Macaca fascicularis: one gene and its partners. The protein of the gene in region 1 purifies or fractionates together with the protein of each later gene. This does not show direct contact. Links are inferred from orthologs where the notes say so. Each region holds a gene or a part of one and is shown in the gene's direction. Other genes may lie near its edges. The genes, in order: RNF146, CHD1L and HLTF.

Region 1 (4,011 bases):
TCGTTAGTTAATACTAGCATTACCTCTTTAAGCTGGAATCTTCGAGTACATATCAAATTTTAGCGATTCTCTGTTCTTGGGCTGTGTAGGATACAGGGACAAAACTGAGTGGCTAATAAGAAGATAAAGATAGAAAACTAAGCTTAAAGGATATACACTTCAATATTTCTACATGTATAGAACTTATAAGAAAAACAGTATTGCATACATGCACAAGCATCACTGAACTAGATGCACCCTTCAAGAGATTGGTTGACATATTAATATATGTGAATAAAAACCCTGAAATAAACTGATTTCAGGGGAATAACAGAAAACATATACATTTCTATACCTATAAGGGCACTGAAAACTTCCAATCCTGAATCAGTTAATGAAATCCCAAAATGCGAGAAGACACTGTCACAGAATGTTGAAATACATACTCTTTTAAAGATAAAAGGTCTGCTCTTCCACCCTCTTCATTTTCCTACACATTAGGAAAATTTTATCAGTTCTGAAAAAGGAAACGTACATGCTAAAACGGTGAATTACTGCTAGAGGTCTGATGTTTAAAACCACAGGCTTGCGACCAAAATAACCTATTTAATTTTAGATTCTCACGCAGATTAATTTCTTTCTTCAGTTTCTCAGGCACTATTCTGTTTTTTTAAAAAGGGGAGGGCTCAAAATAAAATACCAATTTTTTCCCGTATTAAATTGCTCAACCATTAAAAAGGTGAATAAATTGGAAAGTCCTAAAGTACTCTCTGCCCTCCATCCCCGCCCACGACCCTCCTTTTTTTTTTTTTCTTGAAGTGGAACAAGCAGTACTTTTGCTAAGGGATCTTCAAGCCGAAACTCAGCTAGGCGCCCCAGGGCTTCCTCGGGATAGCAAAGCTGGATTTTTGAGCAGCACCACCTGCCGGGCCTACACACGTTTTACTTCCTCCACCCCAAACCTCTCTCTGCTGGAACTGCATTCTTTCAGTGCCTCTGGGCCCTAATACAACTAAAGCACACTCTAAAGCAGCCAGAAGAATCCAAGCAGGGAAGTCGCCGGTCCCCACAAGCAAGAGAGTGCGGGAAGGCAGCGAAGCGATGCAGGGACAGAAAAAGGAGACGCCGGAGCCAGCTCGCGGGTGCGCGGCACGGCTTCCGCCCCGCGCGGCCCCGCCTCCGTGACGCGCCGAGTGGTCACGTGACGGCCGCGCGCGTTCCCGGCCGCTGCGGGCTCCGAGGCCAGAGAGAAAAGACTGCGAGGTGGCCGCAGCTGTGGCCGGAGAGGTGGGAGTCGGAGCGAGGCCCTCTCGGGGGAGCAGGGTGAACGCCGGCCACTCCAGGATCCTCACTCGGGGACAGGAGGCATACCTCGCGGTGTCACCTCCAGCCGCAACGTACTCCGGGTCGGCCTTGCGCTCGGGGCCTGAGAGGGGCGGCGGCGGGGTCAGGGGCCGGTACGTAGATGGACGCCCTTGGGCTGGCGCGGCCCCGGCTGTCCGCGCAGAGGCGGGATGGGACAGCTCAGCCCTTTCCACCACCCCCGCCTTGGCTGCTGGGGCAGGCAAGACGACCGTGACAGCCCATGCGCTGCCCGAGGGCCCCGCAGCCCCTGCCCTAGGTGACGGCCGGAGCTGGTCTCGGTCCGGGTGCGAGGGGCGGAGCAGCGGCCATTACTGCGCAGCGTCTTCCGCCTGAGCCCGCGTCGCTGCCTCGGGTGGCAGGCGGGTCCCTCTCCTCCCCCTGGGCCGTGGTTTCAGGCCTTTACCCGGGGACCTCCTGGCCTCGAGGTGTAGGGGCGGCGATGGTTTTTCGACAGTAGCCTGCTCCCTGTTTCCCGTGTGGGGTCAGACAGTTTAGGCCTTGGGTCAGATCGAAGCCAGGGCGTACAGTCTGCATTTTTGTCTTTTCCCGGAGTGTCTCTGGCTGCTGCTTTCTCTTCTCTCTCTTCCTCCTTTTTTTCCTCCTCCTCGGTGTCTTGGTCTTGGCTAATACGAAGAGAGCAATCCCTGCACCTTGTTCTAGTGAAGCCCAGCGCTGCATATTGTTAGTTGTTTTGACGGCTGTTGAAGCATCGGAACAATTAAGAGATCTCACAGTATCCCTTGAGCCTCCAAACCCTCTGTGCATCTTGAAAGCTGAGACTGTTGCTTTGTTCTGTTTGTTGGGTGGGGAGTTCTCTTCCTACCCTCCATCCCATGAGAGGAGTGTCGGTCTTCCATTGTTGTCGCTATTTATTTTGCGAAGGCTTCTAAAGAATGTAAAATTGTTTTTAAGAGTGTGGAGAAGGAACCGTCCTCTCCACAGGTAAAACCTACAGGACTGTAAGTTTACACACACATCCTGGCAACTAGAATTTTTTATCGTTAATCATTTTGGTATACGTTTTAATTTCTTTTCTACAAGTGCCATTTTAGTGAGCACTTATATCTCAAGTTTTGAACATTTTGTTTAATATTTTTGTAATATTGAAACAATGTAGAACTGAGGTGAGAAGAAAGCCCAAAGATAGGGAACGCTTTGTTCTTTGTATGATTGACGTTTCAGGTACTGGGCGCATCACCCCCACCCCGTGTGTGTACTTTTCAAATGGGATGTGAACGTATGATGGCATTCAATCCAGTATATAATTATAGAATTTGGAAGACTTAGGACATTTTAGTCAGTGAATCTATATTTAGACTTTTAAAAGACATGGCACGTAAGGACACATGGAGAAAATGTCCCACACTAATACCAGGATTTGTGATTTTTGCTTTGCTGTTTTATGACTAGCAAATACTGTTTGTATAGAGTGCCTGGGTGCCCTAAAAACACTTGAAAATAGGTCAAGTAAATCTCGTTTTAAAGAGAAAACCGGAAGAGTGAAACACCACTCTAAAAATAGATTTTGGATGTGTTTGTTTTGGTGCCTTGTATATCTTAGAGTGGAGGATGTTGTTCAGTCCAATCTTTCATTTAGAATTTATGTCTCAAATGGGCCAGTGTGTCATGTGGGCAGAATGGAAATACATTTAAATATTTTTTTTTTCTTCGCTGGTTGTTCAAAACTTGGTAGAATTATAATCATCAGGAAAACTTTCTCCAAATAGCTGGTCTTTTAGACAAGAGAAAGAAAAAATTAACTTTTTTTAAAAGGAGATGTCAACTTACAAAGTGTTTTGTTTCAGTCTCCACCAACTTAAAATTGTCAGAGGAAAGGAACAGACTTTTTTAAAAAAGGATCCAAAACGATATTTTGAGTTAAAAGAAGAAAAGGATATTAAATATGTTGTTTTCACAATATCGATCTGTTTAAAGAGTATTATTTTATATGTTAACCATATACTACCAGGAAACATCTAACAGCTCTGACAGTTAGGAATTCGAATGCGTATTTTTCTCCTGTGTTAGTAACAGAAGGTACTGAGCCTTTTCCATTCTCTTATCTGGTTGCCTTGTGCCTGAGGAATCTGAATTTGTGGAACAACATCTTTGTAGATATAGAAACCAATTTATGTAACACTTGGCTACAACCACCTGTGCTTACTTATGGACTGTGTTTAGTTTTTGTGGCGTATGACCTTTTGGGTTAATTCAAATCCAAAGTGTTGTTAACTGACTGCTAATTAAAGCATTTAGAACTTAGAATTACAGAATTATACAGTAGGATGAGATAACAAAAGACTGGGGGTCTTTTGACTTGACCAAGGTCACACAGATAATTTGCCAAAGAGCTTCCTTGTTTATGAAATCGTTGCTGGCTAAGAAACATCTGTGTGTGATATGATTAAAAGACAGTATTTGTTCACTTTTACATCTCATGTTTTGAAATAAAATGCAAAGCCCACTTTTTTGTTGTTTTGAGAAAAATTAAAGGGTTTAATGCGCTAGTATAAAGATTGTGAAGGCAGTAAGTAGATTGCCACATAGTAACGTCTTAAAGGGAAGTGATTCTTTAAAATAAAGTATCAGACCCCATTTAGTTGAAATGAGTTTTGTCTGAAGTTTCCAAGTATGACCTATTCTTTTTCTCAGCTAATTTTTAGCAGG
Region 2 (4,018 bases), on another chromosome or scaffold:
TACTTTTCTCTTAGCATTAATCCTACCTGATTTTTATTCATTGCTCTTCTCCTCCTTTTAAAATATAAGCTCCAGGAGATTAGTGGCCTCTATCTTCAGTACCATAAAGAGTGCTTGGCACATAGTACATGATTCAGTCAGTATTTATGAATGACTCAAGACACAAAAATAGCTTCATAAAACAGTGCTTTGCTTGAGTTTTTATGAATAAACCAAACTGAAGTCATCCCTTTTGTAGCTCAGAACGAATTTCTCCCTTTTGTTTTAGGGGAAGATGAAAATAATGGAGGGTGCAACTTTAACATGAGTTTACTGAAGAAGGAAGCACCAAGATTAACCTAAATGAGAATACTATTCTAATGACATTAGCCAGAGAATAATATCATTCCTGTACCAGTACTGCCAATTACCATTACAAGTCACAATATCTTCATTTACAATGTGAGGACAATTATAACATCTAATTATTGGTTATTGTGAGGGTTAAATAAGAAAACATACTTAATGCCCTTAGGACACCACCTAGAACTTCATCAATAGATGCAGCTATTTTGTTATTATCATATTTATATTAGTGATGTAGTACATGATAAATCCACTCAAAGCTGATGTTGAGTCACTGAACACATGGCCCCAATCTGCTCGCCATAATGCACTCGAGATACCCACTGCAACAATGACGTCTTTGGTGATTTTAATTTACTACTATTCAGAGGTTCCCAGTTTTGGCCTACGGGTCACAGGCAGTAAGAAATGGATTTCAGGGACTAAACCAACTTATCACAACGTAAACCGATCAAGGACAGTTTGATCTTGTCATGAATCACTGGAGGGCATGGAACAAGTCCTTCTCACTTCTACAACCCCCAGGGCCCAGCGGAGTATCTGACACATGATAGTCGATATTGATTAAATAATAAATGAATGAAGAGCATATGCCACCTCCTTGACGGGCAGTTCAGGCAACCAGACGCCCTGCGCGTGATCAGACGCCTAGCGCTTCAGAAGCATAACTAGTGAGAACTGGGCGGCCCTTCCACTCCGCACTGCAAAAACTGCCTAAGTCAGAGGGTAACTGCACCAGCTCCTCTCCGGAAATCATGGCAGGACGCGCCCTCTGGCGGCGCCTCGCTCGCAGGTGGGCCCCAGCGCGCCGCCGCTCGCCCCCGCGCGTTGGGAGGTTGGGAGGGAACTGCACGCAGGGGCGCGCGGGGCGGGGCCTCTACTGGCTTGATGGAGCGCGCGGGCGCTGCCAGCCGCGGGGGCCAAGCGCCTGGCTTCTTACTGCGGCTTCATACTGAGGGCCGAGCCGAGGCTGCGCGGGCGCGGGTGCAGGAGCAGGACTTACGGCAATGGGGGCTGACAGGTGAGCGGGCTCCGGGCGGACTTCGCCCAGGCGGGCCAACCTGTTGGGACTGCCTCTTGCGGGCCGGAGGCGCAGCGGGTGGGCCGCCCTGTGGGCTGTTTACCCGCCGGCGCCAGGGCCTTCCTTCGCTCCTGCCGTGGGCGGAGAGAAACCGCGCCCGGGCCTGCTGGCCACGTCCCCCGCCTGCGCGGCGCGCGGGGCGGCGGACGCGGGATGAATGAGGTCGCAGTCCCGGGAACCAGGCCCGGCCCCCGGCCTGTGGAGGGGAAACATGGTGAGATCAGCGCCACCTGCAGGCCTCCGATGAAGAGTTGGACGGCCTGGTGCACCAAGGATGCTAGGCTTCCCGTTGCTGTTACAGTGGGTTTGGGTCCTGGCTTGGGGAGTTTATTGGTTGTTTCTGTAAAACGATCAACTCATCTCCCAGCTTCAGCTTCCCCTTTTACTGTGTGCGCGCAGTTATTGGAGAATTCGCCACTGATTAATTCTCCCAATCGAGTTACGTGCGGTAGTGAGCGGACAGACTCAAGCAAAGCACTGTTTTATGAAGCTATTTTTGTGTCTTGAGTCGTTCATAAATACTGACTGAACCACGCACTATATGCCAACTTAGCTTGTCCGCTCACTACCGCACGTAACTCGATTTATTGACACTAGCCCTTGCGGAGAGTCTGCAAAGCGCGAACCTTGCAGGCCCCGCAGCCCTGCAGCTGCACTGCTGACGGTACTTACTGCAGCCCCAGACCCCGCCCTCTTCCCGGGTCTGCGCTGACTCGCCGCTGAACCCCCAGCCTCGTTTTCCTTATTTACAAGTGGGGAACGTAGTGTGTGCTTTGTATTAACAGAATCGTGCATCAGTAATAAGAATACAGTCGTTTATTCATTACTGATTAAATGCTACTGGGAGCGTATTCTTAGGCATTGGCTACAGAGATGAGCTAAACAAATATGGACCCTTCCTACCTAGAGTTTTAGACTAGTGAGAGTGCATTTAAAAGTATAAACAATAACTTAATTGCTCAATACCATGAAAGAGTGAGATTTGTCATTCTAGGAATGAAACAAAAGGTGCAGTTCTGTGTTCAGCTTAGAAGAGAGAAGGATGAAGTTGAATGGAGAGGATGCAGATGGGAAAGAGAAAGACCTCTCCTTGATTCCCGGAGTCTGTAAGAATTTGTGGCTGTAAGGAGTATGTATGCAGTTTAAGTACGAGCTTGTCGACTGGTCTTTTTATGTTTGACTTTATCTTAAGTTGATGTTTGTGGTGTTTGCCTATTTCCTTTCAAGTGTTGGGAATGGTTCTTTAAGAACTTGTGTGAGAGAGGGCTCAGAAAAGTGTGCCAGTTGATACTTAGCTGGGGATAATATGCCGGGAGAAACGTACATATGGGCAAGTGTTTTAGTGAAAATGAGGAGACAAGAGGTTGCAAGTTTGAGTGGATGGAATGGAGTGAGTAAATTCAGAATTAAGTAGGCAAATGTGGCAGCTTGGATAAATTGGTAGTGGAGAGAAGGAAAACAAAAAAGCAGGGTCAAAGGAATAGGTACTGAATATTATAACCTGAAATTTCTATTTCTATTTACCAGAATAAACTAGTATTATGAGAAACTATTCTTCATGAGTTGGTTAAAAAAATTCTTACTGCTTTTTTTTTTCTTTTGGTTACAGAAGTAGTACATATTTTCAGTAAAACATTCAGGGAAATAGCCTATGCATAAAGAAATAAATATTAATCTCCATAATCTCCTTACTGTTAACATGTTCTCTATCCTGTATAATTTCCTTTACTTTCTGGTGGAGGGGGAAGGTGCAAAAATGGAGTTTGATGTACATGCTTTTGGGAAATCATAACTTTTTTTGTTTATCACTCAGTCTTCTTCAACGTCATTTTTAATGGTTACAGTGTTTCAGTATATGGAGGTACCATAGTTTAGACAGTCCCTCTTCTTGGTATTTATTTAAGTTCTTTTTTTTTTTTGCTATTGTAAGTAACACTAATAAATATCCTTGTAACCAAGTATTTATTATAGCTATGGACGTTTAATTCCTGAAAAGTACTATTTCTAGAATAAAGAATATGCAAAATTTTTGCTTATTTCTCCATACTCTCAGTAACACTAGTATTTTCTAATTTCAGAAGTTAACATGTTATTGTATTGTTTAATTTAATGTTTATTTGGTTACCAATATTGATGGACATTTGGATATTCATCTTTGGATCATGAAATTACCTTAGGACCTTTTTGTTTCTGGAATATGCAGACCTATTACTTCTTGCTCTTTTGCTTGCTGTTTCACTACTTGTCATCTCCCTGACAGAAGGGCAAAAGAATCTACATCTGGAGGTTAAAAAACTAAAGACTACCTTTCCCAAACCCCACCGTAGTTTGGTTGTAAATGTGACTTGGCTTTAGCCAGGCACATGACTGTGGGAGATTTGGAAGGGGAAAGTGAGGGAAAGGACTCAGAGGGGTTTGGGTTTTCTGCTTCCCTCTTGGCTACTACCTCATGGGTCTCTGGGTGGGTACAGAGCATTCATTTTGTTACCACGGTTGATAGGTTCCTGGAGCTGACGGTATGGTGGCCTCCTGGTTGGTTCCTGGCTTCCAGGTCATGGAGGTAGATACTTCCTTGGTGTGCCTGTTCTGTGG
Region 3 (4,165 bases), on another chromosome or scaffold:
CGGCCTGGCACGGCGGCTAACGCCTGAAATCCCAGCACTTTTGAGAGGCCGAGGCGGGCAGATCACCTGAGGTCAGGAGTTCAAGACAGCCTGGACAACATGGTGAAATCCCATCTCTACTAAAAACACAAAAATTAGCTGGGCGTGGTGGCGGGCGCTTGTAATCTCGGCTGCTCGAGAGGCTGAGGCAGGAGAATCGCTTGAACCCGGGAGGTGGAGGCTGCAGTGAGCCAAGATCGCACCATTGCACTCCCGCCTGGGGGACAGAGCGAGACTCCGTCTCAATAAAAAAGAGAAAAAACAGAAAAAGAAAAAAGAAAAGAAAAGCTGACCACCTAGTATTATTGTGTTGACGGGCGTGTAATGTGGACCTCTCTGTGACGGGCAAGTATTCTCTGGCAGTTACACGGCACCGCCTGTGCAGATCGGCGCCATCACCGGCTTCCCGCCCTGTGCGATTAAAAGGCCACCTTCGGGGACAGCAGCCTCCTCTCCATCCCCAACGCGCAGGGACCAGCCCTGATAGGCGTGGGCTGCAGCTGGTCCAAGGCTGACGGTCCCAGGGCTGCATTCTCCTTCCAGTCACCTCAGACTCTGGAAAGCGAGCCGTGGAGGGCCTCAGAGCGCCCCTCTGCAGTTCCTTGGGGAAAACAAGGGTCTCCCCAGCTGGGCTGGAGCAGCCACGTGCCCACTGGGAAAAGGGTCCTGTCCACCATTTCCGGCAAACGCCCCCATAGCTGTGATAAACATGTGATGGCTTTCCTGTACCAAGAAAGGAAAATTTTCCTTAAAAATAACGAAAAGAGGTGGGGAGGGGACTCTAAGTTCCATTTAAGATTTTCCAAACTCGTTGTGTCTCATCCATACGCTGAGGCTTAGCATGAAAATTTGGAGCGAAAGTCCCCAGGGTTCACCACAGGGAATGAAACAAAGTATCTCGCCGGTAGCTCCAGGTCTCGTAAACCGTGGAGCTCCTTCAGTATAACGCCCTATTACGTGCCACATTAGATGAGGAGGAAATAAGAGGAAGGATACGGTAGAGGCTTTAGAATGGGGTTGAGTCTTAGGACTTGTGGGGTAAAGGAAAGTCGTTTCCCTCCGTTTAAGGCAGGGAATCAAACAAAACGCCGGCACCGCAGGCACCGCAGTCGCACTCCTGGGGCCTCGTGGCTTTCCCGCGCGCCCGCCTTGGGGGCGGGGAAGAACCCGGATGGAACCACCCTTGCAGCCGGGACCCCCCGCAGTCTTTGAATGGCAGCGGGGCGGAGTTGCCCTCCCTTCTGTGCTCTGATTGGTTTGGCTCCGCACTCTTCTCTTCGTGATTGGGCTTTCCTAGTGCCAGTCACAGAGCGACGCTGGTCTCCCAGATTGTTGCTAGAAGGAGACAGCGTCGACGTCTGACTAGACTCGCAGCGACTTATCTTTCAGTCGTACGCTCCTTATCCGGCGCTCGGAATTTGTTCCCGGCTTCAGGGCTGCGGGACCTGGAACGAGGCGTATCGAGGCGGCTCGAGAACGATCCAGGGGAGCCGAGGCGCTCCTCTTGTCATCCCACTCAGCGCCATGTCCTGGATGTTCAAGAGGTGAAGGGGGCGGAGGGGGTGGGGCGCTGGGGCTAAGGGCCTGGAGGCGTCCCCAAATGAACCTGACCTTCCCCGCGTTCCTCCACGTTCCCCGGGCGATTTGTGCAGCTGTATTCGTTCTGTTGGTCGCATATGTGGCCGCGGGAGAAATAAATGCATTGTCTTGGCTGGCGAGTAGGGGCTATTAGGGCGAGTCTCGTGTTAGGGACTTGGGAAATCTCTGTCACCGACTGTGGGGGGCCTGGGGCTTAAAGCCTCTCGGCCCATGCGTTATTCAACAAAACATCCATTAGATACCCACTGTGCGGCAGGCATTATGCTCGGTGGAGGGCCGAGTAAGCCAGCCGTTGTCCCCAAGTGGCTCACAGCTTATGTGTATGCACAGACGTGCAGATACGTATTTGCAGAGGAGCTAATAGAGAGAATGCGCCACTTGCAAGGAAAACGCAGCGCAAATAAGCGACTGTTCTTAGGAGAATGGAAACTTTCTGCAATGCTCCAGTAGACTTCCCCTCACTTTTCATTGTCCAAATTGGTTTTTATGGTCATTCCCGAAACAGTTACACGTAACGGGTTTGGGGTAATGCTTAAACCAGCGACGGGAGGCGGGTACGGGTGGCTTGGGGCCAATTTCCCACGGTGGCGTGGCTTAGATACCAGAATAAAGTAAGTGTTCTGCTCGGAGGGAGTTACAGTGATGGATGCTGGATGTATTTTCTGGAAAATTATAAACAACTTCGTATACAATAGTAGTTGTATTTTTGTAAGTCTTTTGTAGCTGAATCCCTATTGAAATTTTGGCATATAATTTTATTTTTTTAATAATTTATATTTTTGAGATGGAGTCTCGCTCTCTCGTCCAGGCTGGAGTGCAGTGGCACAATCTTGGCTCACTGCACCCTCCGCCTCCCGGGTTCAAGAGATTCTCCAGCCTCCCGAGTAGCTGGGATTACAGATGTGCGCCACCACGCCCGGCTAATTTTTGTATTTGTAGTAGAGACAGGGTTTCACCATGTTGGCCAGGTTGGTCTCAAATTCCTGACCTCAGGTGATCCACCTGCCTCTGCCTCCCACAGTGCTGGGATTCCAGGCGTGAGCTACCACATCTGGCCCATAATTGTATTTACAGACATCATATACATTTCAGTTTAGATGATTTTCACTAGGAAAGATATTAGTGAGCTCTGACTAGGCTTTTCATTTTGAATTCCTAGGGGGCAGGTAGAAGAGCCAATATTGAAAACAGGTAAAGTTCCCGGGAAGCCTTCTCCACTCACTGCAATTCCTGCTTTAACGAGAGTAACTAACTATTAATCTTTACTGTGATTCCCATGTAAGATTTCATTTGCTGAAGTAAAGCATGAGAAAACCACTCATATGGTCTTTGGAAGTACTTAAATACTGTTTTTCTTTGCCTTTAAAAAAAAAATAGGGATCCTGTTTGGAAGTACTTGCAGATTGTGCAGTATGGAGTTCATGGAAATTTTCCACGCCTCTCATATCCAACTTTCTTTCCACGTTTTGAGTTCCAAGATGTTATCCCTCCAGATGACTTCCTAACTAGTGATGAAGAACTAGATTCCGTTTTATTTGGAAGTTTGAGAGGTCATGTGGTTGGACTACGCTATTACACGGGAGTAGTGAGTATAATAGTAGATAACTAAATTAAATTTTGATTATATTTGTGGCGTTAATCTAGAAAATAAGAGAATTAGCAGGTGATGTGTACGGTTCATCTTTATTTTACTTTAAGTTAATGAAATATTTGTACCCCAAAAATAAAAAATACCTCAAGTGACCCTCCCACCTCAGCCTCCCAGAGTGTTGGGATTACAGGAGTGAGCCACTATGCTTGGTCTCAGTGCGTTATGTTTAGTTATTATGGGTAACACCCCGCCCCCACACCCCAGTGCCTTGTTCATGTCATCGATTTGTTGCAAAAAGGAGGTAGTTTTGTGAAATCTTCTGGATTTTATTCTTTCATTTCTCCGTATGTTTCTTACTTTTAAGCTTCTTAAATCTTTTTTATTTTTGGGTGTCTGAAGCATGTTCAGCAGGAGATTCCTTGGGAGTTTCATGTTCTGGATTTGTTTTTCTCCTATATTTCCTTTACATTGGAACTTTACAAGTTGTTTTTTGATTGTCTGAAATGTGTTGTCTAGGAGATTCCTTAGGGAGAAACAGTATTTCCTAAGTTTTTGTCATAATTGTGGCATTTTATGAATGACAGTTTCATAAAATGAAAGTTGTGAAGGACTTAATGACAGTTGGGCTGAATTTAAAATCTTTGTAATATATAGTTTCTCTCCATATCCTAATGTTGTATAGAATTTTCAGGCCAGTGTGATTTTCTCTTTCACTTAAGAGAATTGGATTTTTTTTTTTTCCCTTTTTTTTTTGAGACCAAGTTTCGTTTTGTTGCCCAGGCTGGAGTGCAGTGGCCTGATCTGGCCTCACGGCAATCTCTGCCTCTCAGACTCAAGCAATTCTCCCACTTCAGCCTCCCGAGTAGCTGGGACTGCAGGTGTTTGCCACCATACCCAGCTAGTTTTTGTATTTTTTTTTGTATTTTTTTGTAGGTT

Evidence for each region.
Region 2: the proteins of RNF146 (region 1) and CHD1L purify together in Homo sapiens (co-immunoprecipitation; 3 studies listed by BioGRID and IntAct, counting the BioPlex papers as one, with this or other methods). This does not show direct contact. The link is inferred for Macaca fascicularis from reciprocal best matches to the Homo sapiens genes RNF146 and CHD1L.
Region 3: the proteins of RNF146 (region 1) and HLTF purify together in Homo sapiens (affinity purification with mass spectrometry; 4 studies listed by BioGRID and IntAct, with this or other methods). This does not show direct contact. The link is inferred for Macaca fascicularis from reciprocal best matches to the Homo sapiens genes RNF146 and HLTF.

Annotation. Positions count from the first base shown.
Region 1 is NC_088378.1:31,213,252-31,217,262, forward strand, and holds the start of RNF146 (E3 ubiquitin-protein ligase RNF146), read left to right. Parts: upstream 1-1,205; 5' UTR 1,206-1,436; intron 1,437-4,011. UniProt on the Homo sapiens protein: E3 ubiquitin-protein ligase that specifically binds poly-ADP-ribosylated (PARsylated) proteins and mediates their ubiquitination and subsequent degradation. May regulate many important biological processes, such as cell survival and DNA damage response.
Region 2 is NC_088375.1:112,993,196-112,997,213, reverse strand, and holds the start of CHD1L (chromodomain-helicase-DNA-binding protein 1-like), read left to right. Parts: upstream 1-1,215; 5' UTR 1,216-1,233; coding exon 1,234-1,366; exon of another isoform or gene 1,367-1,585; intron 1,586-4,018. UniProt on the Homo sapiens protein: ATP-dependent chromatin remodeler that mediates chromatin-remodeling following DNA damage.
Region 3 is NC_088376.1:51,897,924-51,902,088, reverse strand, and holds the start of HLTF (helicase-like transcription factor), read left to right. Parts: upstream 1-1,365; 5' UTR 1,366-1,563; coding exon 1,564-1,583; intron 1,584-3,015; coding exon 3,016-3,223; intron 3,224-4,165. UniProt on the Homo sapiens protein: Has both helicase and E3 ubiquitin ligase activities. Possesses intrinsic ATP-dependent nucleosome-remodeling activity; This activity may be required for transcriptional activation or repression of specific target promoters.